Ovis aries: one gene and its partners. The protein of the gene in region 1 interacts with the protein of each later gene in a pairwise test. Links are inferred from orthologs where the notes say so. Each region holds a gene or a part of one and is shown in the gene's direction. Other genes may lie near its edges.

Region 1 (7,022 bases):
AGCATGATTTAGTGGACAGGCCCTTGAAACTACTTATCCTTCCGCACATGCTTTATGAGTAAATAAACAAAAATCCCCCCAAAGCGGCCAAAATCAACAAGACTGCTGCAGAGTCAAGACTGCTGTTCAGGCAATCATGCTGAACTTTTCACCCCAGATACCAGTCCACTGTGGAGTCTCAGCATGGGATTCTGTGCATTTGGGAAGGAAACAAAGAAGTGAACTTGTAGTTAGACCTCAGCATGTGGGGTTTTGAATACTTGGAACCGTTTTCTTGGCTTTCGGAAATAATTACAAAAGTTTGCTTTGTGGAGAAAGTGAGGTCAGGAGAAACGTGCCTGTCTTTCAGGAAGCGAACCCCGGGCCTGGCAACAGGGTAAGTGGCAGGGTCTCTGCCAGAGTCTTTCTTCAAGGATTTGAAGGACCATACGGATGGGAAGCACAGAACATCTTTGCAAAGTGCTGCGCCGAGTGGCGTGGCGCACCCCCCGACATGGCGGGGTCCTGTGGGTCTGAGGACTGGGTGGCTCAGGAATCAGCAGCTGAGCTTCCCCCAGCCTGGGAAAGACAGACAGGGGGCAGAGGACGGCGAGGGACCCCGCTGCCCTGGGCCGCCCCCATTAACTGGGGGGTGCAGGGTCCCTCCGGGCCCCTGACTCCACCCACGGCTCAGCCGAGACCTCAACAAGGGCAGAGCAAAGCCACAAGCCCTTCCCACATTAGGAGTGTCTCTGAAATGGAAAATCAGAAAGGAAGTGTTTGCGCCTAATCTCACATCGTTTACCAAACATTTTACAGCAATTTATGACTTTCTGTGTGCACAAGACTACCTTGCTAGTTTTTCTGGGATGTGTTGAAGATTTTTTTTTTTCCTTTCTTTTTCGCCCCTTCATGTGCTCTCTCTCTAGAGAACCTTAAAACAGGGGCATTTTCTAGGATGTTTCAAAGTTCTTGAAAGTTAGTCAGCGAGCCCCTACTTCTTAGCCTTGAACCTCTGTGGTGTCTCTGGGGACCACCCGGTAGGCTCGGCACACAACAGAATTCAGCGAGACAAGACTAGCTCGGTACTACAAGACTGAAACTCCGTTTGGAGAAGGGAATGCCAGCGGTGAGAAGAGTCACTCAGAGCCCAGTTTACATACACACGTTTAGAGCAGGCGTCAGCCTGATTCAGGCACCAGGTCAGATCACCTAAGCAGACCAGATGCCTCGGCCTTTCTGTGCCAACTTCCAGTCCAGCCCCACAAGCTTCGAGCTAGCAAAGCCAGTGGCCTTTTCCCACCTTGGCGCCCATGCAGTGTGGACTTTTCCACAGAAGGGAGTCCCAGAGGAGGTGGGGGCGTGAAGTATCAACCTGACTCAGACTGACACGTAAGGACGGCACGAGAGAAGGAGGACTCCCAGGAGAGCTGACAGCACGGCCTCAGATGGGGCTTCACAAGCGCCCGAGCAAGCTGCAGGGTGTGGCTCTTCCAGGTGTGCCCATGGGGGTGGTACCCAGGCCCGCAGGGCCAGCATCACTCGTGGCCACACAGGCATCACCGAGCAACTGGTGTCCTAGCCGGGCCTCATAGCCAAGGGGGATGGGGGCCTTCAGAGGCCAGGACAGCGCAAGCCAGGGTATGGGCAAGGGAGAGGGGAGCATAGCAGAGAGGAGGCTGGGGCAGAAGGTGAGTCTGGGTGAACATGCTGGGGCCTGCTTGTAAAGATGCTGCCGGGCCAGGTAAAGGTCTATGCCCTGCCAGATGCAGACCAGGAAGAGGGATGCAGCGGACTGGGTTCACAGCATCTTAGCGTCATTCTGTTAAACTTGCTCACCTATAAAATAGGAATAAAACCTTATTCCATGGCGTCATTGTGTGGTTCAAAACAAGAGGGGATTAAGGGAATTTAAGAGTTAGAAGGGCCGTGGAGGCTGAAAGCGCTGTACAGGTAGAGTGATTGAGCCCAGGAGCCTGGAGCTCTTAGAGGAGGGCATGGAATCCATCTTGGTCTCATGAGTAAGTGACGCTTCGGGGCACCTGATGTCACCATGAGCTGGGACCGAAGACCAATGTTAGCTGAGCAGTTACAATGTGCCAGGACTGTGGTCGATTCTTCACCATCATCTCTGCTTCCCCGGTGGCATCTGAGGCTGGAAGGGGTCAGGTTGCTGTCACCACCATGCAGCAGGTGTGTGGCAGAGCCAGGACTCAAGTCTGGAGCCTTCAGGTTTAATCGCTGGGGTGAAATACACCAGGCATTTTAGACACATGCTCCCAGGGTCCCCAGGGGCTCGAGTGGCGTGGCAGGTGTGCAGGGCAGTGGCTTGAGGTTCCCCACCTGCCTGCACGCCAGGTTTCCTCGGCCTGGGGTGGCCGCCGCCGCCGACGGCACATGGAACAGGGGTGGGTGAGCTGTCGTCCTGCCTCAGCCCACCCCCTCCCCGCCCCACTGATGGTGATGCCAGCTTGTTCAGAGAGAGTTGTGACTCACCATGGCTCCTGAGAGTGTGGGTGTAGATTGGTATTTATCTTCAAGAAAAACGTTTTTGTCAGAAGGTTGAAGAATTATCAAATGTCTTTGAATGAACAGTTCAGGGCTGTTGTATGTTAATGCGGAAACACGTGTGTGCGCGTGCGTGTGTGCGTGTGCAAGAGACAGCAGACAGGGAGCAGCTGTGCAGGGGGTGAGGATGCCACAGGGAAGGGATGGCCGGTGACTCAGCTCGGCAGGAATCTCGGCAGGATGGTGACCAGCCCCCTGGAGTGGGTGTGGGATGGGGGTGGCGCTGAGGGTTCTAGGCAGCTGCTGTCACCAGCCTGGAGGGCCATGCCATAGCCAGGGTGTGATCAGTCCCTCCCTTGAATGCAGGATGTGGGACTCGGGACAGCGAGCGACCAAATGACCAACAGTCTCAGGAGGGTGGAGGCCAGGAGCTGGACCTCCCTCAAGAGGATCTAATCAGGACGGGGTGTACTATCAGATTTAGAGAACTTTCTAGTGTCAAGGGGGCTTTCTTAGTGGCTCAGTTGGTAGAGAATCTGCCTGCAATACAGGAGACCCAGGTTTGATCCCTGGGGTCAGGAAGATTCCCTGGAAAAGGGAATGACAACCCACTCCAGTATTCTTGCCTGGGAAATCCCATGGACAGAGGAGCCTGGTGGGCTGCAGTCCATGGTGGTGCAAAGAGTCAGCTTAGCACACGCACGCAGTGTGTGTCAGAATTTCTTTCATTTTTGAGGCTGTGAATAACGGTCCACGTTTGTCCATCACTGTCTGTCCACTCTGTGATGGACACTTCAGTGACTTCCACCATTTGGCTTCTATGAATCTGGATCCACAGATTCCCACTTTCAATTCTTGGGACATCTACCCAGAAGTGGGATTGCTGGTCATGGGGTAATTCTCTGTTCACTTTTTTGAGGAACTGCCTGCCTTACTGTTTTCCATACCAAAAAGAAAAAAATTGTTAAATGCATTTATTCCATAATCAGCATTACAACAGTGATCACGTGATCCAAACCCCAACGCATCTTTAATTAGGCTGATTACTGTCCTCAGTGGACAGGACTTTATTCAAACCCTCAACAAAGACAGAGCTGAACGGCACTCACCTGGGTACATTCATCTGGCCTTCTGGTCCAGCCTGGTGGGAACTCTCCCAGCCGGCGCCCCTCAGGCTGGCCCTCCTGGTCTCTGCCCTTTTTCTGCCCAGCTCACACATCCTCTGGTCTTTGATGTTCAGCTGGTAGCACTTCCTGGAAGTGTTCTACTCGCCTTCTCCAGGTTGACCCAGGGGCCCCACCCCAGGCTCTGTCTCTGAGGTTCCCTCAGCCCATCCTCCCTCCCCTGGGAATCACAACCACCGCCTCAGACATGGTTGGGTTTGTCCCGTGTGCTTGTGGCCAGTGGACCCCCAAGGTCTGTGTGTCCAGCAGAAGCAGCTTCTCTTTCTTACAGAGAGTTCCCAGGGAAAAGCACCTGTTTTTCAGAAGCTTCTAAAGAGTGGCTCCGTACCCCACCCGACCCGTCCCAGCCCCTCGAGCTCCACCTCCCTGCCTGGCCCCTCTCACCTCTCTGCCTCTCTGCCCCGGGTCTGCAGGACTTGTCCTACAAGGACCGGCACTGGCACGAGGCCTGTTTCCGTTGCTCACGGTGCCGGGGCTCCCTCGTGGACAAGCCGTTCGCTGCCAAGGAGGACCAGCTGCTCTGCACTGACTGCTACTCGCAGGAGTACTCGTCGCGATGCCAGGAGTGCAAGAAGGGCATCATGCCAGGTGGGTGCTGTGATCCCGCCTTTCGCACATGCGCGAAGTCCCCAAGCCCTAACCCCCCAGTCCCTCCCCAGGCCCCCCTCCACCCCGCACACTCGTGCTGGACCTGGAGCTGGGTGCTGCACCCCGTGCGGGTGACATCCTGGCCGACTTGACCGCAGCTGGGCCTAGTGGCCAGTGATGAATGACCTGTCTGTTGATGGGGGCGGATGGGACTGTATCCCTTGCTTTTGGTTGGGGGAGGGGAGGAGGAATCTTTGCTTTATGGGAGAGGAATCTTCTTTTAAAGAATAGAATGGACAAAAATGCTATGTGAAATTTTTCAACACAGTATTTAAAACATGATCTTGTTAAGACACACAAAACAAGAGCAAGAAGAACCTAAGATCTGGACCCTGGATAGTTCATCGGCCACAGAGGGTCAGTGATGTCCTCTGCATGACCAGTAAGGGAACTGGACAGTAACCTTGCCAGACTTAGCGCATAAAACACAGGACTCCCAGGTAAACTGGGATTTCAGCCGATCCCACCTGAGACCTCGTTAACCTGGCTTCTCTGCCAGAGAGCCATATAAAATCAAGAGAGGGCTCCGTCCTATGACTGTCTTCTGGGGTGTGGCCCCCAAACCAGGCTCAGGGTGGTGGGAGCAGGACACAGGTCTAGGTCCCCAGCTCTTGGGAAGCTGGATGCTGCTGCCTGGGGAACCCTCAAATTGCTCAAGAAAGTATCTGTCCTCAAGATGGCTTCTTAGAGGATGTGCTTCCTTCAGTCCTGAGAAGCTTTAGAATTAAGGGCACACTTATTAAGACAATCCAACCCAGAGCAGTAATATTGTGTTAAATAATCTGATAATGCATGAGTGAAGTTTAGAAAAAAAATTGGTCTCAAGAGTAAATTAATTCTTTTATTCTAACTAAAAGTGTGCCATTGAGTGATTTAGGTTTGTGGTTTTATACGGGGATTTTCTTAATCCGTAAATGTTTTTGACACTTAAGATACCTTAGTTTTTGAGGCTGTGAATAACAGTCCACGTTTGTCCATCATTATCTGTCCACTGTATATATTTAGCTCACTTCATCGACAATTACTTAAGAACTTGAGGTCCAGTTTGCCAAGGTCCTCCTTGGCATCGAAGTAGAAGGAATATCAAATACATTAAATTTTGTTGTTCATTCGCTGAGTCCTGTCTGACTCTTTGCAGCCCCATGGACTGCAGCACGCCAGGCCTCTCTGTCCTTCACCATCTCCCGGAGTTTGCTCAGACTCATGTCCATTAACTCGGTGATGACATCCAACCATTTCATCCTCTATCGCCCCCTTCTCCACTTGCCTGCAATCTTTTCCAGCATCGGGATCTTTAAATTCTAAGTGTCCTTTTAAAGGACTTTACTACATTGGTGAATGGAACCAAACATAAAGTCATGCCCCTTAAAAGTGATTTTTAAAATGTGCTGTATCCATGAACACACTGATAAGATGCGCAGGATGAAGTTCAATGAGGGGTTTTGAATTTTCAATTTCAGTAGAATGAATGTCAGCTTGTAGAAACCTAGGTGCCCTGCAGAGTCATGCTAGTCCACACAGCAGCTGGGGTTGCGCCGACACACACAGAGAACTTAGGCAGCAGGGATCATTTAGAGTCAGACTCCTGACTGCAAGGAGACGGACCCAGGGATGCCCAGCCGCCGGGCACTGAGCCAGGGCCATGCATGTGGGGAAAGACACAGTTTTCCAGGGCAGTGGTCCAGACTGGGGAGAAAAATGATCACTGCTGTTTTGACAAAGACGAATATACCTTAGAGTAAGAGGTGAATTTTTCCTAAAATTCCTGGGGCCACCAAGACGATTCTGGATTCTGGCAGGCTGGTCTCTGAGGACTGCTGCCCCTCCCCCCGCCCCGCTTTCTCCCCAGGGACATCCATCTCACCATCTCAGCTGTTGGGGTTTTTAGGAGAAGCTTGGCTGGTGTCTACTGTGATGGAGGCACTAAGTCAGAGCAGGGCAGCCAGCAAAGGGGCCCTTGGGGACGTGACCTTTGAGCAGTCTCAAGGTCGACCTGATTTCAGCGGATGGAGTAGTCAGTAGAGGGCACATCTGGCAGAGGAAATGGACCAGGCATCAGAGGTGGTGTGCCCAAAAAGGCCTGCAAAAATAAAACAAGTACTAGACACTTAAAAAACCAAACAGAAAAAACCCACAAAACTAGATCAGAGCGCTAGCTTCCTTCCTTGGTTTGATTTTCAAAAGTGCTACAACCAAATCAAGATGAGAGCAATGCAGACTGGCAGCGCGGCTTCTGCAGGCGTCCCCACTCAGCACCCACAGCTGTGAGTCACCAACCCGAGGTATGAGGCTCCCTCCCGAGCCCACGCAGGGATGCTGAGCCCTGGCTCAAGGCCTCCAGGTAGCCTCACGCTGTTGCCAGGCCTTCACCGGTTTTCAGCTTCCTCACTTGCTCCTTTGAATCAGAAAGACACCCCTTCCTCCAGGAGGTGGACTCGGTCCCCTGGCTCATCTGCAGGTTCTTAGGAGGAGCTTTGCCGCCCCCTGCTGGTGACTCTGCACAAGGCCCACAAGGTCTGCACCAGGTCTGAGGGTACCCAACTTGGGTGGGACCTGGGACCTAGGACTGGACATCTCCCTGAGCTCCGGGGTGGACAGAAGGCTCATTCTGAACATGCAGAAGGCATGTGTGGTCTGGTTTGGGGGCTTTAGTGAGACTCACGGTCATCGGGTATTTATGGACAAATTGTTTGGGGTCTGGGC
Region 2 (7,724 bases), on another chromosome or scaffold:
CTTTCTTTAGGCCTTTGACAACAAATTTCCGAAGTCTGGTAGTAGGCAGGTTGGTTTGTCATAGCAATTTTTTTTAACCCAGACATTAAATGAAACCGAAAAGCTTCATGTACATCTAGTTCAAATAGTGTTTCTTCCAGAAAGAACATCCCACAGTAATAGCAATGACAATAATAGTATGTTTCATGAAAATCTGAACTACTAAGCTAATGGAGATTGCAGAAAAGGGTTACTGTTTGCCAGAGACCCCACTCAGAGAAACTGACAATCAGCAAAAAGTTCTTAGCAAGGGCTTTGTGCTTTGGGGAGCAATGTAGAGAAGAGTGCCGTGGCATTAATACAGAGCCTCTCCAACTGTTTTCAGTTCGTGTTCTCAAGGAGGAGGAACAAAGGGCCGGTACTAGTACGATAGCAGCTTTTCCCCATAGTACGATCAGAAAGTTTGGCTACTCAAGAGAAAGTGTTTTACCGTAAATATATATATAGATTTCATGGTTCTTAATGATTTATGTTAAGTGTCTTCATTGCTAAATGCCTTTTTCTTTTGTGCACTCCCTGAAGAATCTTGCTTCAAGGACTGTCTGCAGAGGCCAGAGTCAGCTTTGCTTGTGGGGGAGGGGAGGGTTCCAGCGGCTGGGGCTGGGACACATAGTTCCCCGAGGGGGTTCCTTGGGCTGCCTGGGAACTAAGCCGAGTGCAAGATGGGTGGGAGAGCCCCCATCTGGTTTATCTGAAATCAACAAGAGCGTTTATCTGCTTTTAGGCTTTCCAAACAGCCCCAGGCAAGCAGAATCTGCATCTAAAGGTGCATCTTTTCTGCCTGGATTGGGGTAGTCTGGAAGAGCCCTGGGAGGACTAGGCGCTACAGATTGTTGAGGACAGACTGCCATTGTAGGTGCCTTGCTGTCTCCTTCATCCTGGGGTTTTTGCCTCTGTACTGTGTCAAGAGACAGGCAGAAACTGCCAGGAACAGGCTCTCCACACACCAAATCAAGGTGGGTTGGTGTCACAGCCGCAAGCCCAGGGGCATCTGGTTTAGGCTGACATCTAGAGCTGCCCTGTGGTGCTCTCTCCTTCTACCCCGCCCCCATCCTTTCTGGCATTAATAACTTGAAGACAAATACTCAACGGCTAGACAAGGACCCAGATCTGGACCTGGAGGCCTGAACTCAGATCCCTGCTTCATGAGCACTCTGAACCCAAGGAAATGACCAGGTTAAAAGGAGATTCATCCGGCCTTTGCTGTAGGCCACCAGGACAGAAAGTGTGTGTGATTAGTTCCTCCTTAAAGCAAGATTACCAGGTCAGCCTGTTGCAAAGTCACGAGGTCCTTGAGATATCTGCCCCAGTCAACCCAACTGCCTGCCTTCAGTGCTACTGGGCTTGGCTTTAACTTTCTGGAAGATCCACCACATCTTCTCGGGTTTCAAGAAAAATCCTTTTAGGAGTTGAGGGGGTCTCTTCTTCCCTTCCTGATGTGATGACCTTGCACGATGACCTGATGTGACTTCCTGGCATGATGACCTTGTCCTTCATAGGCTTCCAAATCTTTTTTCTCTGAAATGGCCAAAATATGTCCCCCACACTGCCAAAGTACACAGGTGACTCAAGGTCAGAATCTGGAGGGTAGGCCAGTCATTGTTCTGCACACAATCTTCATCTAAATTAATGTAAAACCTTGTCTGAATGGTATGTAAACTGGGTTGAGTTATCGTCAGCAGGCTAACCATCCTCCTTCCCCCCACCAAACGATGGGGCTCCTACAGATTAAAAGATCACCCTCTTTCTAGGCAGTGTGTGATTTGCCTATATCTGAAATAGCAGCATGTACATTGCACAGATTATGTACCTTGTTTTTTTTTTTTTTAATTTTTTTTTAATTTTTGTGGACGCTGTGCCTCCTCTTTTCACTTTCTGGGAAATCGGCCAGTGTTTCAAGGACCCTGTAAAGAACAAAATAAATGTTTGTAGGTAGTTTCAAGGGAAAATGAGTATGCTGGATGCAACTCTGCCCATCCAAAGAAAAGTATTTGAAGTGCCTTTCTGATATTTTAATGAACTGGAGAGATTCAGAAGGTGGATTTTACTAGTTTACTTTTCAGATTTTGATCAACATGTGAGTGTGTTTATGTATGTTGGGGAGGAGGAACTGTTGAGAAAGTGTAGGCAAAGGAGTGCAAACTTCGCAAAGTCCAGCTGAAGAGACTGAAATTGATTGTGTGCAAAGTCAGCTGTATCTGTCTGTTAATCAAGCTCTAAACGCTTGGTGAAGAAAGTGTGTAAGAACCTTCAGCATATAACCTGTCCTCGTTGCCCTTTATAAAAGGGATTTCACTGAAATTTGGGACGTTCCGCAGTCGGCTGTTCCTTTTTTCAGGATATCAGCCTATTGGGGAGGCTGATTCTGTGAGATGAAAGAGACGGAGAACCGGCTTCCAGCAAAGGCTCCCGCCGGCGATCCTGGGCCATGTTTTCCTTCCCCGGCTGCGGAGTCGCCGCAGTTTGCCTCGGGGGGCCCGCGTGGGTCCAGGGCAGGACAGCGCATCACCTGTTGGGGCCTCGGGGAAGCGCGCGGCGCGGGGGCGGGCGGGGGGCCCAGCCCGCATTCCTCAGGGACCCGGCGGGCGGACAGACGGACGGACCAGGGGACGCGCGCGCGCGGAGGGACGCGGGAGGCCGGGCGCTGGAATGCAGTCTTCCCCGGCGAGAGAGACTTTGCACGGGAGTGGAGAGTAGTTTGGGGTGGGGTTTCGCACCGTCCCCTCCTCCCCACCCCCCGGGCCCCCTTCCAGGCGCTTTCTGGAAGCGTTTTTTCAGAACGGCGCCCTGAAGTTTAAAGACCAGAGAGGAGCCTGGGCCGGAGGCAGGGACAATGGAAGAAAACGAAAGCCAGAAATGTGAGCCATGCCTTCCTTACTCAGCAGACAGCAGACAGATGCCGGGTAAGTAAGAGGCTCTCATTCAAAGATGGAGTTACGGTTCCGCGTGTGCCTCGCGGCTGGCTGCTGCTTTTTATAACTGCAGACCGAGCGCCTGGCACAGAAAAGGCGTATTTCTTGGGGTGGTGCGTTTTCCCAACTCAGTGGAGAGCTGTAGGCTGGACTTTTTTTTTTTTTTTTAAATCTCTGGCAGGATTTTCTTAAGCTGCCAAAGAAGTGGCGGGGTGGTGTTACACTGGTAGCCCTGTAAGCCGTCAATACTTGCTAGATCTCCAGGCAGTGGCAAATACATCCCCAAAGCAGCTTTCCATACTCCCTGCTCCAGCCGCGGGAGAGAGCAGCTCTTTCTGGAAAGGTCTCTCGGGACGGCAACACTTCCATTCATTGGTTGGGGGGATTCCACGAGGCACAGGCACGTCGGAGGCAAGTTTGGTCGTATTTGAGAGTTAAATCGCAGAGTTTTCTTTTTTTTTTCCTTTTTCTTTTTTTTTCCGGATCGGAACAGCAGGGGAGCACTTGTCCATGTAGAGGAGAGATGGAGCTGTGCGAATTTTCTGTATGCTTGAATTCAAAAGTTGGGAGCTGTTAAGACAGTTCTGATAGATTTTCTCTGAGCAGTTTCTCTTTGATTGTGTTTATAATAGACTTGTCTTTTCCGTAGGGAACTTCCAGAAGCTTATGTCGTTCCAAAGAAATTATGCAGTGTGGTTGGGTGGGGAAAGGGCTCCTCGGCTGGGCCGTCCAGTGTCTGACGTCTGTGACTCCGGAGCCTACCTTGCATGCACTATCGCGAAGGCGGCGGGTTTGGACCCGGCGCAGTCCAGAACCCTCCCTGCCCCCACTTTAGCCCAGGTTCATCCAGGGGCCAGTTAATAGCCCTGCTTGCGGGGCTGCAGTGCTGTGCGTGGGAGTAACAACAATGCACAGGGGAAAAGGTGTGTGTTTTTTAAAAGGCAAAAGGGAAGTCACACATGACTCATCCACACTGAAAATGCAAAACTAAGCCAGACAGAAGAAAATACAATTAGAAGAGATAGAAATTCCCCCCGGTGAAAAGCAGGAAACTTTAAGACCAGTGAACCCTGGAGAATCCCAGACTCAGAGTCCTCCGCTTGCTGGCTGTGTTTGTGCTGTCAAAGCACCACACTCTCCTTGGGGGCCCCCGGGCAGTGGGGCCCCCTCCCCTGCCCTCTTTGATAGACAGGGTCCTGCAGCAGGAATTCAACCTCTGGGCTTCTGCTGCATTACGAAATACTCGGAATCTGCAGGCGCAACAAGAGAGTGGAACTGATTTAAGAAAACAATTTACAAACAACCACAGCAGTTCAGAGACACTTCAGAGACTGAGATGGTGAGACTGATGCAATGTGATCACTTTATTTCATTTATTCACTAAATATCAAGCCTCTGTTCTGTGGGAGTCACTGTTTTAGCTTCTGGGGATCCAGCAGTGAACAAAATAGATGAAAAGCCCTTGCTTTATATTCTAAGGGCCAAGTTTGGGGGAAGGGGAGTGGAGGACAAAAACAATAAATGTAAAATAGCATGTTATATGGTGGGGTTGCCGTATTTGTCAAACAAAAATAAAAGGCTCATTTAAATTTGAATTTCAGGTAAAAAATAAACTTTTTTTTTAGTATAAGTGTATCCCATGCAATATTTGGGATACACTTATGCTAAAAATTATTCGTTGTTTATCTGAAATTCAAATTTAACTGGGCATCTTATATTTTATCTAGTAAGTTTATTAAACTGTGGGGGAAAATAAGGCAGAGAAAGAAAATATTGAGTATGGGGGTGGTCAGGGGTGAAACTGTAGTAGGGTTATTAGAGATGGCCTCACTACTATGTTGGAGGAGGTAGTGGCAACCCACTCTGGGGTTCTTGCCTGGAGAATCCCCATGGACAGAGGAGCCTGGCGGGCCACAGTCCATGGGGTCTCAAAGAGTCGGACACAACTGAGCGACTCAGCACTGCTGTGATACTTGAAGGGACATCAGAAAGAAGTGAGGGAGAGAAGAAAAAGGGCATCTTCAAAGAACAACATGGGGAAAGGATAGATAGAAAAGAGGTTAAGAGAGAATTCTAGGCCCTGTCGGGTAGGGCCTCTGATAGTAGAGTAAGGACGTCGGCTTTTATTTCAAGGGAGGTGGGAGCTGCTGGTGGGTCTGAGAGGTTTCTTCAGAGGTAGTCCTGGGTGCTCTACTGAGAATCACCCGAGTGGGGTTGGGGGCAGAGCAGAGAGCTCAGTTAGGAAGCTTTCAAAGTAAACCAGTCACTAGCTTGGATCAGCAGGTAGGGGAGTAGAACAGGTGGTCGTAAGAAGACAGACTTTAGATATGTATTGAGGATGAAACTGAATTTGCCAAGGGATTGGATACAGGATATAAGAGAGACAGCGGAGTCAGAGATGACTTCAGAAACTTTGGCCTGTGCTTCTGGGAAGTTGTCATTTACCTGAAGGGGAAAGTATTGGAGAGGAGTAGCGGAGAGGGTGTTTGTGGCTTGGAAGTGGAGAGCAGAAAATCTTTTGGCTATGGTAGGATCTGGAAGCTTATCAGGCATCCAAGTGGAGATGTTGATTGCAATTTGGATGTTTGTAGCTGGAATTTAGAAGAGGGGACCCAGGATTGTTAGAAATGGTCCAGGATTGAGTCTGTGTGCAGAAGGAGGCTAGAAAGGTGGCTGGGGAGCACGTGAAAGAGGGCTAAGAATTCAGGTTAGATTTCTAAGATCCCCATTGCATCCTGGGTGAAAATGATGCTGTGAAAGAGTGTGGCCTCTTCTCCAGTTCTTCGATACGCAAGAGGACCATGCAAAGGAGGCCAGCCTCTGATGGCTTCATCACCCATGATTCCTTGTGGGCTTGATCGTATTTGGCATTGTAATAATACCGGTGAGAGTGTGGTATTCGAGGGCAAAGACCGTGACTTCTTTGTCTTCACATCCCCAGAACTTAACAGAGCACCAGGCATGAGACAGCGATCAATAAATATGTGCTGAACAAAAAGCTAATTATACCACCCTAGGGCTTTGAGTTTATCAATCTACAGATAGATAAGGATCCGCTGGGTGATCCTGTAACTTGTTCAAACCAAGACAGTTTTGAGAGTGAAAGGGACCGCTATAAATAATTTCAATGGGACAACAGTTGTAACCCAGAACTGTTTTGGCAACTGGGCATATGGTTACCTTGAGAATAATTGTTATCGATGATGCTCCTGGGGCTGAAGCGTCAGCTGCTGGGTACTAAACAGTGTGAAGTGCAGAGAGGTGCTTAGTAATTAGTGGTTGAATTTGAGTCTAACTATATCATGCTTTTATTTTTTTGGCTGTGTGCCATGTGAGATCTTAGTTTCCCAGCCAAGGATGGGACCTCTGCCCCCAGCAGAGGCAGCACTGCGTCCTAACCACTGGAGCACCAGGGAAGTCCAATATTCTGCTTCTTTTGGGCTCCCCAGAGTGGTCCTTAGGATGCCCATGCCTGCCCATAGCAGCCCTGAGGCGACTGCTTTCACTCTGGCCCCAGTGTCTTGAAACCCCTGTGCAGCTGTGTCAGCCACCTGCTTGCCTCTACCACCCCTGATTCACTGGGGTCTTAAGATACTAGTATTCACTGTGGTAGTAATCATTTCATGGTATGTAACTATCAAATCAATATATTGTACACCTTAAAATCAGATAAGATTACATGTCAGTTATATCTCAGTGAAGTTGGAAAAAAAATCATATTGGCAGCCTTGCAGAGTATAGCCCTGGCAGGGGAGGTGGTAAATGGAGAGGTCCCCAGGGGTCCCCAGACATTCTGGTCTTTGCTCCAAAGCATCCTCTAAAATTGCATATCAGTTTCTGTCCCTTATCCTGTTTTAACCTTAAAGCACTTTTCACTCAGTTCAGTTCAGTCTCTCAGTTGTGTCTGACTCTGCAACCCCATGGACTGCAGCACGCCAGGCTTCCCTGTCCATCACCAACTCCCAGAGCTTCTAAAACTCATGTCCATTGAGTCGGTGATGCCATCCATCTCATCCTGTTGTTCCCTTCTCCTCCTGCCTTTAATCTGTCCCAGAATCAGGGTCTTTTCCAATGAGTCAGTTCTTCACAACAGATGGCCAGAGTATTGGAGTTTCAGCTTCAGCATCAGTCCTTCCAATGAATATTCAGGACTGATCTCCTTTAGGATGGACTGGTTGTATCTCCTTGCAGTCCAGGGGACTGTCAAGAGTCTTCTCCAACACCACAGTTCAAAAGTATCGATTCTTCGGTGCTCAGCTTTCTTTATAGTCCAACTCTCACATTCATACATGACCACTGGAAAAACCATAGCTATGACATTCATGTTACATATTATCTGTTTGTTGTCTGCATCCTTAGTTATAATGTGCCTCCCCTATGAGGGAGGGAAGGGAATTAAGTCTGCTTTGATCACCACTTCACTCCGCTTCCTAACTCCTTTCAGTGTACAGAGCAGGCACTCAATAAATATTTGCAAAAAATAAATCAGTCAATCAGCAAACGAGCCATTGAGACAAGAATGCTTATCTGGATAGGGGAGGGGCTGTTCCTATTTTGTGTAAAATCTCTAGCAAAAACCTTTTTCATTTACTTTTGTAAGATTTTTTAGAGGAATCTACATAATGGCCTGGTTTCAGCTGTTAATTTTTGTGCCAGTGTGTCTCTGGTGGTGATCTTTATGATATTAACAAGGGAGCTGGAAAAAATGGAGGAACTCTGTGCGTCCCAACAGAATATGTGATACATAGGAGTCAGATGACCTGACTGCTGTAA
Region 3 (7,022 bases), on another chromosome or scaffold:
CCTCATCTATTTGACATGAAGAGATGGGACCAGATGCCATGATCTTAGTTTTTTGAATGTTGAGTTTCAAGCCAACTTTTTCACTCTCCTCTTTCACTTTCATCAAGAGGCTCTTCAGTTCCTTTTCGCTTTCTGCCATAAGGGTGGTATCATTTGCATATCTGAGGTTATTGATACATCTCCCAGCAATCTTGATTCCAGATTGTGCTTCATCCTGCCCGGCATTTTGCATGATGTACTCTGCATGGAAGTTAAATAAGCTAGTTGACGATACACACCCTTGACGTACTCCTTTCCCAGTTTGGAACCAGGCTGTTGTTCCATGTCCGGTTCTAACTTGCTTCTTGACCTACAAGAAGAAGTTTTACCCTACTTGTTGTTTTAGTCATTAAGTCATGCCCTAGTCTTTTGCAGAACTATGGACTAGAGCCCACTAGGCTCCTCCATCCATGGAATTTTCCAGGCAAGAGTTCTGGAGTGGGTTGCCACTTCCTTCTCCAGGGAATCTTCCAGACCCAGGGATCGAACCTGCATCTCCTGCATAGGCAGGTGGATTCTTTACCACTGAACCACCTGGGAAGTCCCTTACATGTATTTGTTGGGGTCAAATACATGTAATAATTTGTATTTATAATTGGGCCAGGAGAGCCATTAGGTAAATTCAGATATGTTTCTCAGTGAGGCAAATAAGATACAAAATCATAGGTCCAACTTATTCTAAGTACTTTTTTTAATGCCCATAGAACAAGGAAGTAGACCAAAATGTTAATGATATATTTTATGAGATATTTCAGGTGATTTTATTTTTTAAAAAAGAAAGAGTTAGTGCTTTTTGCTCCCCCACATCCCACCAGAAGCAATTCAGTAGGAAGTGGCAGCCTGTTGGCCCCAGCCCTGCTTCCCTGGCTCACACAGCACTGGGCAGATTTTGCCACAGCCAAGACAGCCACAGAGAGCTGCGGACAAGTACTGTTCACGTCCCGTTCTTGGTTCAGGAAGCCTCCAGCAGACACTTGTTTTATGCTTCCTGTGGAGCAGAATGTGGAACATGCATCCTCGGCACCAAGTTTGCAGAGATACAAGATTGTCCTTAAGGGGCTCCCGTCCACTTCCCCTTGAGCAGTCAGGTTGCCTGCCTTGGGAGGCCACGCAGGAGCACTGGGTGCTGCATCTCTGGCCTGGCTAGTGTATGTGTTGTGCACTGCCTTGCAGCTCACATTAGGATCTGTGACTTTTGCAGTGTGATTTGTTCATCCAGGAGGGGGCCCGCCTAGGAAGAACCCCCGCTGAAGTCGTTTCAACTTGTGACATCACCTTTGCCTGCGTGTCGGACCCAAAGGCAGCCAAGGACGTAAGGATCCCTCCCTCCCCTCAGCGTCTCAGGTTGTGGCCAGGAACGCTGGCTGGCCTCCTCCCTTTGTCCCCTGCACACCGAGTGAGTGTCTGCATGTGGGGGGTTGGGTGTCCCATTTGGGGGCCGTCTCCCATTGTGAAGGGTGTTTGCATAGACTGAACACAAGACTTCCTTTAATTCAGAACAAAGAATGAAACTGACTGGGGTCCCTGAGGTCTGTGCTGAAATGGTTCCTGACAAGCTCATGTGTTCCTGGTGAGCTGGAAGCTTTGAGGCTGAGTGTGGCTTTGGTCCATGTGCCAAGTTCCTATATTTAGCTATCACTGTATTTGTATGCTTTAAAAGTTCAAGTGCAGTAGTTATCTTGTCGAACTCGTGACTAAACTAATCCAGGTAAATCCAAAAAAGCTAAAAAATAAATACTGGCCTTTAATCTTTTCAATGGGAGGCTTTTAATGAAGAGAAATACATATATATTCTTTCTGAAGGTAAATGGGAACATAACATAAATTCTTCTCTTTCCCTTGCTTATTTACATGCTCTTCCCTTTTGAGCTTTAATAATTAGCTTCTGTTTGGGAAATGAGCCAAAAAAAATCAGCAAGTCTTGACCTTAGGTCTGAGGGTCTCCTGGGTGTCTGGCTGGGAGCCTGGGCTATTGCTCCTCCCTTGTGTCCCCACAGCTGGTGCTGGGCCCCAGTGGCGTGCTTCAGGGGATCCGCCCCGGGAAGTGCTACGTGGACATGTCGACAGTGGACGCTGACACAGTCACCGAGCTGGCCCAGGTAGCAGCCTTGTTCAGGCTGGCCCTCCAGCGTCCTTTCAGTTGGAGCCCAAGACCCAGGCTTACCATACCCCAGTGTGGGTCACATAGTTACTCCAGAGCCACAGCAGAGACTGTGGGATTCTAGCCTGTTTTCACTCTCTGCCTTCAAGTCTACAGCTGGTCTGCATGGCTGAAACAGAAGTGCTTCTTAGCTGGGAGAGGCATCAGGTCCCGTAGCCACTAGCCTTTCAGTTGGAAGCAGTCCAAGCTGCCAGCAGGGTCTTTGTGGTTTAAACAGCTTTCTGCAGTTAGTACTAGCAGAATATTCCCCCACCCTGAGCCTCTAGGCCACGGTGAGAAGATGGTGACTAGTGGCCCATGTGTGTTCAAAGAGTGGCTGAAATCAAAGAAGGGCAGTGTCTGTCCTAGAAAGTGTGGTCGGCCAAGCCGTAGTGTGATCATGTTGATGATATCTTTGTAATGGGAGCCTCTGAGGACCCCCAGCTCCTCGCTGTCTCCTTCATGGGATTCAGGCATCTGGTGGAGGACAGTCTGCTGGCCCTCCCCCAGCATCAGCCCAGTACCTTGGTACATGCGTCTGCTTTGGGGCTCAGTGTGGAGGGCCTAGTGCTCCAGTCCCTGCGTGCTCTTTACTTCCTGCCCAAGACCCTCTTGAGAGGCACAGCCTCCAGAAGCTGTGACTTTCCTTTCCAGGTGATTGTGTCCAGGGGGGGCCGCTTTCTGGAAGCCCCGGTCTCAGGGAATCAGCAGCTGTCTAATGATGGGATGTTGGTGATCTTAGCGGCCGGAGACAGGGGCTTGTATGAGGACTGCAGCAGCTGCTTCCAGGCAATGGGGAAGACCTCCTTCTTTCTAGGTAACATGCCTGCCCACCCGTCAGGCCACTGCAGGCCTGGAGGCTGGGTGGGCCACAACCCCTCTAGACCACCCTGAGGACAGCGTCAGTCCCGCACGGCCTCTCTGCCTGGGGCCCCCGTGGGAAGGTTTCTTTGACTTGCACAGTCAGTGCCTGCAAGGAGGAAGAGCCAGAAGGGTCAGAACCAGTTCTGTCAGGGGCAGGTGAATGGGGCCTCCCCTGGGTGTAGAGGTGGGTCCAGGCAGGGTTGAGGGTGGGCAGAAATCCCTCCCCGTGGGATTCCTGGGATGTGACTGCAGTTCTTTGCCCTGGGCAGGTGAGGTTGGCAACGCAGCTAAGATGATGCTGATTGTGAACATGGTCCAGGGGAGCTTCATGGCCACCATTGCAGAGGGGCTCACCCTGGCCCAAGTGACAGGCCAGTCCCAGCAGACACTCTTGGACATCCTCAATCAGGGACAGTTGGCCAGCATCTTCCTGGACCAGAAGTGCCAAAGTAAGTTGCCTTTGACCACTCTTGTTGTGTTTTAGTTTGGGTTCTAGCTGGGAAGCTGGGTCAAGCAGCCATCACAGAACAGTGTCTTTGGGAGCTCCTTCTGTGTGAATGACACATCCTCTCCAGTCTGGCCCCCAGGCAAAGTGAAGTGAAAGTCGCTCAGTCGTGTCTGACTCTTTGCGACCTCATGAGCTATACAGTCCATGAGGAATTCTCCAGGCCAGAATACTGGGGTGGGTTGCCTTTCCTTTCTCCAGGGGATCTTCCCAACCCAGGGATTGAACCCAGGTCTCCTCATTGCAGGTGAATTCTTTACCAGTTGAGCCACAAGGGAAGCCCAAGAATACTGGAGTGGGGAGCCTCCAGATCCTTTCTCCAGTGGATCTTCCTGACCCAGGAATTGAACTGGGGTCTCCTGCACTGCAGGCAGATTCTTTACCAGCTGAGCTCTGAGGGAAGCCCCATAGGATTTGGGGGTGCAGTCTGGGAACTTGTCTCTTGGGTGTCTGAGGAGTAGGAAATGCTAGGTGTTGAGCCCTGACAGTGCTCCAGATGCTTTTTTATTTAGGATCCTTTTAATTCTTCTGGTGAATGCCTTTCCCTCCTCAGATATCCTGCAAGGAAACTTTAAGCCCGATTTCTACCTGAAATACATTCAGAAGGATCTCCGCTTAGCCATTGCGCTAGGTGATGCCGTCAACCATCCGACCCCCATGGCTGCTGCAGCCAATGAGGTAACTGCAGGAGGCTGTGGGTGGGGCCTGCAGACTTCCCTTGTTCCCTTGCACTGCCCCTTCTGCCGACTTTGCCTTGGCTTGGCCATGTCTGACCTCTCCAGGGGGAGTCTTAGGTTGTTAATTTTAGGCTTTCCTTTTCTGAAGTTGTATGTCTCCTCCAGTCCATGCTGACTTTGCTGGGAATTCGTTGACCTGTGGGTTACTTAAAAGTGTGTCAAATATGAGTAAAAATCCTAAAGGATTTCCTAGATATCGAATGGTTATTGATTTCTAATGTATCTTTGTGGTCAAAAAATACACTCCGTGTGGCTTTTACCTCTTTGCATCAATTCGGACCTGTTTTGTGGCCCAGCAGACGGTCGGTCTTGGTGGGTGTACCACATTCATATTCACTTAAGAAGACTGTGTGTTCTGCAGTGGGTGCTGTGTTCGGCATCTATCAGTTAGGTCGAGATAGTTGGTAGTGTTTTTTCAGATCATCATTACTGACCTTTTTCTCCAGTTCTTTTAATTGCCGAGAAAGGGATGTTAAAATCTCCAGCTGTTATTGTGGGATTATCTGTTTCCCCTTTAATTTTGTCCATTTCGCTTAGTATCTTCGGAAGTTTTTGTTAGTGGGCCTTAGCCATTTATGATTATACTGTCTTCCTGATGAATTTGCCCTCTTGTTATTAAGAAGTGTCCCTGTTGATCTTTGTCTTGAAGTCTGTCGTCAGACTTTCATATGGCCACTATGGCCTTCTCAGGTTTACAGTTTCCATGCGTTCTATCTTTTATTTCAATCTAACAGAAGTATAATCTTTCAGAAAAACAGCTGAGCAGTATTCATCTTTGAATTGCAGTGAGAACCACATGTTGTGAGACACATACATATATACATCATGTGGATTCATTTTAGAAGTTCTCTCTTCCAAGCGCTGTAAGCCGCATGCATTTTTATCCAAGTTAAATAGAGGTCTCTAGTGGCTTTTCCTGTAGAGGCAAAGAAATACAGATACACAGTACTGGGGGGCTCCCTGAGGGTCTAGTGGTCAGGGCTCTCTGCTCCCACTGGTGGGGCCAGCTGAGCAGTGCAGCCAAAAATCAGTGAAAAAACGCAGTGCCGCTCTCTTCAAACCTGCCTTTCCATGGTCGATGATCTTCTGTCCTTGAATTCTGCGTCTCTCTCTCTTCCTTGTCTGTCTGAACATCTGAGTACTTCTTCACTCTTCCAGGCTGCAGTACAGTTTCTGATTCCTCTTGTCGTACCTTCAGGTTCTCTCTTGGCAGTGAAGTTCCTGGCTGTTGTATAGTTTTTCGCTGATAAGTTTGTCTGTAACTGGTTACTTCTGAAGGGTTCTGTGGTATCTTATGTTGGGAGCACTTCTCTGCGAGGTGATTTCCACTTGCCCCTCCCTGACTCTACAGGATTCATGGACTTGGAAACAGACATTTTGGTTCAAAGTGCATCATCTTTATTTTTGTCTTTTCTCTCGGGATTACTGTATGCATCTTAACTTCACGTCCTAGATTGGCCCTGTCGTAAAATGTGTATCCATTTACCACTGCCTTCCTCTCATCCTTGGGAGCATTGTTCCTTGGCCTGGGCACCACTGGCACTTGCTATGGGAGCTGTCCAGTGTATTGTAGCCTCCCTGTCCTCTACCCACTCGATGTGATTGCACCCCCTTGGTTGATAGGAGATGTCTCCAGACATCACCAAATGTCGCTCCAGATGGGGAGCAAAAGGACCCCAGGTTGAGAACCCTTGCTTTACTGTACACATGTCCTATATGTTATGTTTGCTTTGATTTTTAAGCTCACCATTGTTGGAGTGTCTCGCTTTAGTAGTCGTATGAATTCTAAAGATATTCAGAGAAAAGATAAGTTTCTGTTTCTCTACCATTTCCTTTCCTTTCCTTTCCTTTCTGAAGAATTGAATTTCTCTTTGGTATTGTTTCTCGTTCAGCTGGGAGAACTTGCTTTAGCATTTCCTGAACGCAGGTCTGCTGTCAACAATTAGTTCTCTTTTATCTGAAAAAGGCCTTTATTTAGCCTTTGTTCTGAGTTCACAGCTATACCCAAGGTGTAATGGACATCAATCATGATGACTCCAACTGAACTATGTTTAAAAATAGAAAAAAAATACACCTATGTCCAGCTGCATTTTTCAACATGCCTGGACATTGCCCTGCCCTTATTGAACAATGGTTTTTCTAAGTTTTCTCACACTCTTTCATATTCACCTGGTGCCTTTAGAGTGGCTGTTAATTGCCAGGGACCGTCCTAGGCTCTGGGGACATAGGACAGCCCCTTCTCTTCCTTGTAGAGATTACGTTCTAATGGAAGGAGGCACCAGGTAAGCACATAAATGTTTCGACAAGGAAGAACTGCAGGAGGTTAGAATTGTGAATAAAATGGAGCAGAGTAAAGGGATGGAGGTGGCCGGGTCAAGTGGCACAGCTGGCACTTCAGATGGATGACGGGGAAGGCCCTGGAGCTGATGGGGCAGGACGGGGCCGCAGCCTCGGAGCATCTTCAGATGGAAGGGATGTGATTGTAACTACTAACCAGTGTTGAGCCCTGCCTCCGAGCACTTTACATCCCTCAGTCCATTTAACCTTCGCCGTAACCCTGTTAGCCTCCCCATGAAATCAAGAAGCAGTGCTGGAGGCACAGAGAAACTGAGGTACTTAGTCCAAGGTCAGGCCAAATCTGGGAGATCCAGGAGTCACACCCAGACAGCCTGGGCTCCAGAACCTACCCACCTAACCACACCTAGAACCCCTCTAGGAAGCAGATCTGTCTGTAAGT
Region 4 (7,139 bases), on another chromosome or scaffold:
TGGCATTGCCTTTCTTTGGGATTAGAATGAAAACTGACCTTTTCCAGTCTTGTGGCCACTGCTGAGTTTTCCAAATTTGCTGGCATATTGAGTGCAGCACTTTCACAGCATCATCATCTTTCAGGATTTGAAATAGCTCAACTGGAATTCCATCACCTCCACTAGCTTTGTTTGTAGTGATGCTTTCTAAGGCCCACTTGACTTCACATTCCAGGATGTCTGGCTCTAGATGAGTGATCACACCATTGTGATTATCCGGGTCGTGAAGCTCTTTTTTGTACAGTTCTTCTGTGTATTCTTGCCGTCTCTTCTTAATATCTTCTGCTTCTGTTAGGTCCATACCATTTCTGTCCTTTATCGAGCCCATCTTTGCATGAAATGTTCCCTTAGTATCTCTAATTTTCCTGAAGAGATCTCTAGTCTTTCCCATTCTGTTGTTTTCCTCTATTTCTTTGCATTGATCACTGAAGAAGGCTTTCTTATCTGTTCTTGCTATTCTTTGGAACTCTGCATTCAGATGCTTATATCTTTCCTTTCCTCCTTTGCTTTTCGCCTCTCTTCTTTTCACAGCTATTTGTAAGGCTTCCCCAGACAGCCATTTTGCCTTTTTGCATTTCTTTTCCATGGGGATGGTCTTGATCCCTGTCTCCTGTACAATGTTACGAACCTCATTCCATAGTTCATCAGGCACTCTATCTATCAGATCTAGGCCCTTAAATCTATTTCTCACTTCCACTGTATAATCATAAAGGATTTGATTTAGGTCATACATAAATGGTCTAGCGGTTTTCCCTGCTTTCTTCAATTTCAGTCTGAATTTGGTAATGAGGAGTTCATGATCTGAGCCACAGTCAGCTCCTGGTCTTGTTTTTGTTGACTGTATAGAGCTTTTCCATCTTTTGCTGCAGAGAATATAATCAATCTGATTTCGGTGTTGACCATCTGGTGATGTCCCATGCTGTAAAGAGCAATACTGCATAGGAACCTGGCACGTCAGGTTCATGAATCAAGGCAAACTGGAAGTGGTCAAACAGGAGATGGCAAGAGTGAATGTTGACATTCTAGGAATCAGCGAACTAAAACCGACTGGAATGCTTGAATTTAACTCAGATGACCATTATATCTACTACTGTGGGCAGGAATCCCTCAGAAGAAATGGAGTAGCCATCATGGTCAACAGACGAGTCTGAAATGTGGTACTTGGATGCAATCTCAAAAACGACAGAATGATCTCTGTTCATTTCCAAGGCAAACCATTCAGTATCACAGTAATCCAAGTCTATGCCCCAACCAGTAATGCTGAAGAATCTGAAGTTGAATGGTTCTATGAAGACCTACAAGACCTTTTAGAACACCCAAAAAAGATGTCCTTTTCATTATAGGGGACTGGAAAGCAAAAGTAGGGAGTCGAGAAACACCTGGAGTAACAGGCAAATTTGGCCTTGAAATGTGGAATGAAGCAGGGCAAAGACTAATAGAGTTTTGCCAAGAAAATGCACTGGTCATAGCAAACACCCTCTTCCAACAACACAAGAGAAGACTCTACACATGGACATCACCAGGTGGTCAACACCAAAATCAGATTGGTTATATTCTCTGCAGGAAAAGATGGAGAAGCTCTATACAGTCAAAAACAAGCACATACACAGATACTCAAAAATTTTAATCATTAGGGCAATGTAAATTAAAATACAATGAGATGCCACTACACACCCACTATAGAATGCCTATAATTAAAAAACAAATCATGATAACAAGTGTTGATGTGCAGAAATGAGAACTTTCATACATTGCTTGGTGGGAATGTGAAGTGGCACGCACCACTTTGGAAAAGTTTGCGGTATGTGGAAAAGTTACACATAAATTAAACATATAGCTTAGCAATTTTGCTTCTTGGTATCTACCTAAGGAAAATGAAAAGATGTAGCCTCACACACACTTGTCTATAAATGTTCCTAGCAGAAATTTTCATAATAACGAAATGATGACAACAATCCAAATGCCCATCAAATGAAGAATGGATAAACAAAATTTACTCTAATACTAGTCAACAATAAAAGGGAGTCAACTGGTGCATGCTACGACAGGGATGGACTTCCTTTACGTTATGCTTAGTGGAGGAAGCCAATACAAAACACTATATATTGTGCAATTCCATTCATAGAAAATGTCCAGAAAAGCCACATTTAGAGTGACCAAGAAATGATTAATTATTGCCCAGGGATGAGAATGAAGATAGCAAATTGGCTTGATTAGATTTTTAGGGTGGTGATGGAAATGTTCTATAACTAGATTAAAAAAAATTCTTTTTATTAAAGTATAGTTGATTTACGATGTTTTGTTAATTTATGTGGTACAGCAAGGGATTCAGCGTAACTAGATTTTGATTATAAATTGTTGCACAACTCAGTAGAAATTATTATGTGCGTAAGATGGTGCATTTTATATTTCTATAAATATAAATGGCACATTTACATTTATACGAATTATACCTCAAGAAAGCTGTTTAAAAAAAGTGTGCCTGTGGACTCCACTGGTATTGGCTATATACCTCAAAGACTACTTTTGTTCTCTTTGTAAAGTTGTAGGCAAGAGAATTCCCTGTGGATTCAGAATTGGTTAGCCAGCGCAGTGCCCCTTATTCCCCTGGAGTGCCATATTTGATGTATGTGGAGTGTATGTGTGATGATAGCAACATGATGGCAATCGCCCCATGGATGACCAGGAGGCCTAGCAAGTCTGGCTGGTGGCTCAGTCACTCTTTGCTGATTCACAAGGGCACCTTCCCTTAGAGGAATGGAACTGTTCTTGGATAAGGGAAAACCAGCAGTTGGACTTCTCTGTTGGAGTCCATTCCATGGGTCCACTCATGGCCCTGGACCCTCTACAGTCCCCACATGCAGCACTGTGGGTGTGATGAGACTCCTATAAATTAGTCTCTTCTGCATGTGTGTGCGTGCTAAGTCACTTCAGTCGTGTCTGACTCTTTGTGATCCCATGGACTGTAGCCCACCAGGCTCCTCTGTCCATGGGGATTCTCCAGGCAAGAATAGTGGAGTGGGCTGCCATGCCCTCCTCCAGGAGACCTTCCTGACCCAGGGAGCGAAACTGCATCTCTTACATCTTTTGCATTGGCAGGCGGGTTCTTTACCACTAGCACCACTTGGGAAGCCTTCTGCTGCACAATAATCTGCAAATACCACAAAGCTGAAACATTAAACCCTTGGTTGAGGTGGTGGCAGGGATCTAGTCTGGTTTTCCTCTGTCTCCTGAAACATCTCCCTGAAGACTGGCTTGTGGCTTCTGGGAATACATGCAGGTTGAGTGATGGGATTTATGAATAATCACCGCCTCTGCTTTATTTTCAGCTGACTATTTACCCTGGAACCAACCAAGACGAGAGCTGCTTCGTCCACCTCACCACTACCGGCCAGCATCAACCAAGTTTGATAGTCGCACCACACAGCAGGACGACTACTCCATGAAGGGCCTGGTGAACACCAGGAGCTGTAAGCCTCCAGCTGTGCCCAAGCTCTGTAACATCCCCCTGGAGGATCTGACAAACTACAAGATGAGCTACGTGCCCCACCCCTTGGAGAAGCGCTTTGTGCATGAGCCAGAGAAGTTCAGACCCTGTGAAATCCCCTTTGAAAGCCTCACCACCCACAAAGAGTCATACCGGGGTCTGATGGGGGAGCCAGCCAAGAGCTTGAAACCTGCCAGGCCTTGTGGGCTCGACACGCCATTTTCTAACACCACTGAGTTTAGAGATAAGTACCAAGCCTGGCCAACGCCCCAGGTGTTCTCCAAACCTCCTGCCATGTATGTCCCTCCTGAAGAGAAGATGGACCTTTTGACAACTGTGCAAGCCCACTACACGTACCCTAAGGGTGCCCCAGCTGAGTCCTGCCGACCTGTGCTCTCGGTCAAGAAGGGTGGCCGCTTTGAAGGCTCCACCACGACCAAAGAGGACTACAAGCAGTGGGCCAGCACGCGGACAGAGCCAATCAAGCCCATCCCCCAGCTGAACCTTCCCACTGAGCCCTTGGACTGCCTGACCACCACACGAACCCACTATGTGCCCCACCTGCCCATGATGACCAAAAGCTGCAAGCCCGTCTGGTCTGGGCCCCGAGGAAATATCCCTGTGGAGGGCCAGACCACATACACCATCAGCTTTACTCCTAAGGAAATGAGTAGGTGCCTGGCTTCATACCCTGAGCCTCCTGGCTACATCTTTGAGGAAATAGATGCTTTGGGGCACAGAATATACCGGCCCGTTTCTCAGACAGGCTCTCGGCGGAGCAGCCGTTTTTCTGTAGGTGATTCAGAAAATCCCAACCAGCAGGAGTTGACAGTGTCAGCCTGATTTTTAAAGGCTGTAATTTAGGAATTGCACAATACTTATAAAATCATATGGTTGAGCTATTCATTGGACCAAAAGAGAAAAAAAAAAAAGAATTCCCCAAAACTGAAAAAAAAATTTCATCGTTGTTTCCTGGACACTTGAATAAAACAAGAATCACTTGACTCAAGAAAAATGACATTTAATCACTGGCTAATCAGTCCCCTAACCCTCCCTCTGCTGTCTCCCCATCTTGGCCCCTTTACCCTGTGCTCATGGAATCAAAGCTGGTCTCTGAGGTTTCCTTCCCATCCAGATGTATTTTACTAGTTTAATCATTGTATACATTGACATTATGATCATCCCTTGCCAAGTATGAAGTGCCAAAGAATAAACTTCATTTTGGGGGGTTTGAATCTGCAGGTCTGTGTGTTCACGCCATGTGCTGTCTACGCAGAGAGCAGGCCGTGTTTCTTGCGACCTCTGGGGATATTTGAGCCTAAGTCTCTTGTTGCCTCCTCATCCTGGTAGGGGTGCCTCAGGCCTGATCTGGAGTCTTGTTTTGGGGCCTCTCTGCCCAGGGCTGCTTCACAGGGCATCTTTCTACCTCTTTACATCATGACATACCAGTAACAGCAGTGTTGTCTGATGGGGTATGAGTCTTGTCGTGAGTCTTGCCCATGAACCGGGCACTCAACTGAAGTTTCCTCTCCGCTGCACGCTGTTCCCCAGTTCTCTGCTACCATGGAGTATATTTTAGGGTTCTACAGACTCAAAAGAGAGACAGATGGCGGGAAAGGACAAGGTTCTATGGCAGAGCCTGGAAAGCGTGGACTGCCAGACCTCTCTCATTCCCAAACCAGTGCAGGCTCTGAGTCCGGGAAGCGGGGGTGGCGGCCGGGAGAAAGGGAGCCCTTGGCAACCAGGCAGTTGGCAGCTGGCCCTTAAGCTATGAGCTCTTCTAAATGCTCAGAACCTGGAAAAAATGGCCGCACATTGGGCTGATTCCTGGGAAGCCTGGACCCGCTTGTCCTAAAATGACAGCTATGACCAGGCCTCTCACAAAGTGTGACATAGTGATAATGGAGAAAGGGTTGGAGGTTCCTTTTTGGGGCCTAAGGTTTGATCCTAGAGTTAAGTAATTTGGAGAAATTTTTTTTTTAAATTAGGAAGAATCAAGGAGGGACTTTGTTCAAGATGGCCCAGGCAAGGATCAGATGGGTTCAAGGTCTGTGTGAGCCTCACCCAGGGGGATGCAGATTGACGCTTGGGTTATCTGCCTCTCTTTTGAGTCTGTAGAATCCTAAAATATACTCCATGGTATCAGAGAACTGGGGAACAGCATGGAGGGGAGAGGAAATTTCAGTTCACTGCCTGGTTCATGGTCAAGAAGCCTGCATCTCTTATTCAAGTCTGTCTTTCCATGGCTGTCGCCTCCCTGGCCCAGATTTTCAGGTCCCCACTCACTGTCTTCTTACCGTGAGGTTAGTTTGCGTCACTGGATTGGGATTTATGGCATTTAATCCTCTTGGCTGTATCAGGTGTGGATGACTGCCCTTATGGGATAAAGAAGCTCGGAGAAACGATGCACCTTGCCTAAGGCCACAGAGCTTGGAGCACCAAGGCCAAGACTGGAACCCAGGTCTTCTGTTTCAAGATCCAGGGCTCTTGACTCAACACCAGGCACCTCCCATCTGCAGTGACTCAGATCTCATGGCTCCACCAACCACATCAAATTGTACTGTCTCTGTCTGAACTCCTTTCTGGAGGCCATTAAGCTAAAGGAGGCCACTTAGGAGGGTAGGTTTTATTATTTTTGTTTCATCATTTTTCACAGATCAAAGGAATATTGGCACTTGATTTGAAAAACTAAATGGTATTAAAATGCTTATAAAACGGCAGCACTCTAAAGCAGCCACCCCTTAGTCTCTATTATAACTTCCCCAGGGAACAACTGTAAATAATTGGATCTGTTTCTGCTAATATTTTGCCTCAAATTCCTTAATAATGTTGTTTTAGTTGCTAAGTTGTGTCCAACTCTCTTGTGACCCCATGGGCTGTAACCCGCCAGGCTCTTATGTCTGTGGGATTTCCCAGACAAAAATACTGGAGTGAATTTCCATTTCATCCTCTAGAGGATCTTCCCAACCTAGGAACTGAACTTACATCTCCTTCTTGGCAGACATATTCTTTACCATTGAGCCACCAGGGAAGTCCATAGTATATATACTAATATATTAGTATGAAAGTGAAAATTGCTCAGTCGTGTCTCTTTGAGACCCCGTGGACTGTAGCCTGCCAGACTCCTCTGTCCATGGAATTCTCCAGGAAAGAATACTGGAGAGGGTAGCCATTCCCTTTTCCAGGGGATCTTCCCAACCCAGGGATCAAACCTGAGTCTTCTGCATTGCAGGTGGATTCTTCACCTTCTGAGCCGCCAGGGAAGCCCCTGTATGAGAGATAGAGATAGAGAGAGAGAGATAGAGAGAGTGAGTGAGAGAGAATGAGAGAGAGAGAGTGAGAGTGAGTGTGTGTGTTATACTGGTGTCCGTTGACTCATTGATTTTAGACCTAGTCTGTTTTGGTAGATTGGGTATTTTAATTCTTTTACACCCCTTCCTTCTCTCCCCCTTCTTAATATAGTTATATGAGAGTGGATGGTGATGTCAAAACTAATAAGCTTTTCTGATGAGTAGGAAGGGAAGAAACTGAAGAAAGATTGATAGATCTGACTCTTTTAGGAGCGCTGAGTCCCCTTGGGGTGAGAAACTTCCTCTAAGCCCTTTCTCTGAGA

What was found.
Region 2: the proteins of FHL2 (region 1) and KIAA1217 interact in binary tests that used the Homo sapiens proteins (3 or more experiments, as listed by UniProt). The two-hybrid records come from large-scale screens. The link is inferred for Ovis aries from reciprocal best matches to the Homo sapiens genes FHL2 and KIAA1217.
Region 3: the proteins of FHL2 (region 1) and GLYR1 interact in binary tests that used the Homo sapiens proteins (3 or more experiments, as listed by UniProt). The two-hybrid records come from large-scale screens. The link is inferred for Ovis aries from reciprocal best matches to the Homo sapiens genes FHL2 and GLYR1.
Region 4: the proteins of FHL2 (region 1) and SAXO1 interact in binary tests that used the Homo sapiens proteins (3 or more experiments, as listed by UniProt). The two-hybrid records come from large-scale screens. The link is inferred for Ovis aries from reciprocal best matches to the Homo sapiens genes FHL2 and SAXO1.

Annotation. Positions count from the first base shown.
Region 1 is NC_056056.1:97,214,159-97,221,180, forward strand, and holds part of FHL2 (four and a half LIM domains protein 2), read left to right. Parts: intron 1-4,084; coding exon 4,085-4,259; intron 4,260-7,022. UniProt on the Homo sapiens protein: May function as a molecular transmitter linking various signaling pathways to transcriptional regulation. Negatively regulates the transcriptional repressor E4F1 and may function in cell growth.
Region 2 is NC_056066.1:24,436,984-24,444,707, forward strand, and holds the start of KIAA1217 (sickle tail protein homolog), read left to right. Parts: upstream 1-2,815; 5' UTR 2,816-2,872; coding exon 2,873-2,942; intron 2,943-7,724. UniProt on the Homo sapiens protein: Required for normal development of intervertebral disks.
Region 3 is NC_056077.1:4,456,007-4,463,028, reverse strand, and holds part of GLYR1 (cytokine-like nuclear factor N-PAC), read left to right. Parts: intron 1-1,240; coding exon 1,241-1,351; intron 1,352-2,036; coding exon 2,037-2,138; intron 2,139-2,833; coding exon 2,834-2,996; intron 2,997-3,312; coding exon 3,313-3,492; intron 3,493-4,101; coding exon 4,102-4,400; 3' UTR 4,401-7,022. UniProt on the Homo sapiens protein: Cytokine-like nuclear factor with chromatin gene reader activity involved in chromatin modification and regulation of gene expression. Acts as a nucleosome-destabilizing factor that is recruited to genes during transcriptional activation.
Region 4 is NC_056055.1:87,516,546-87,523,684, reverse strand, and holds the end of SAXO1 (stabilizer of axonemal microtubules 1), read left to right. Parts: intron 1-3,368; coding exon 3,369-4,369; 3' UTR 4,370-4,541; downstream 4,542-7,139. UniProt on the Homo sapiens protein: May play a role in the regulation of cilium length. Stabilizes microtubules at low temperature.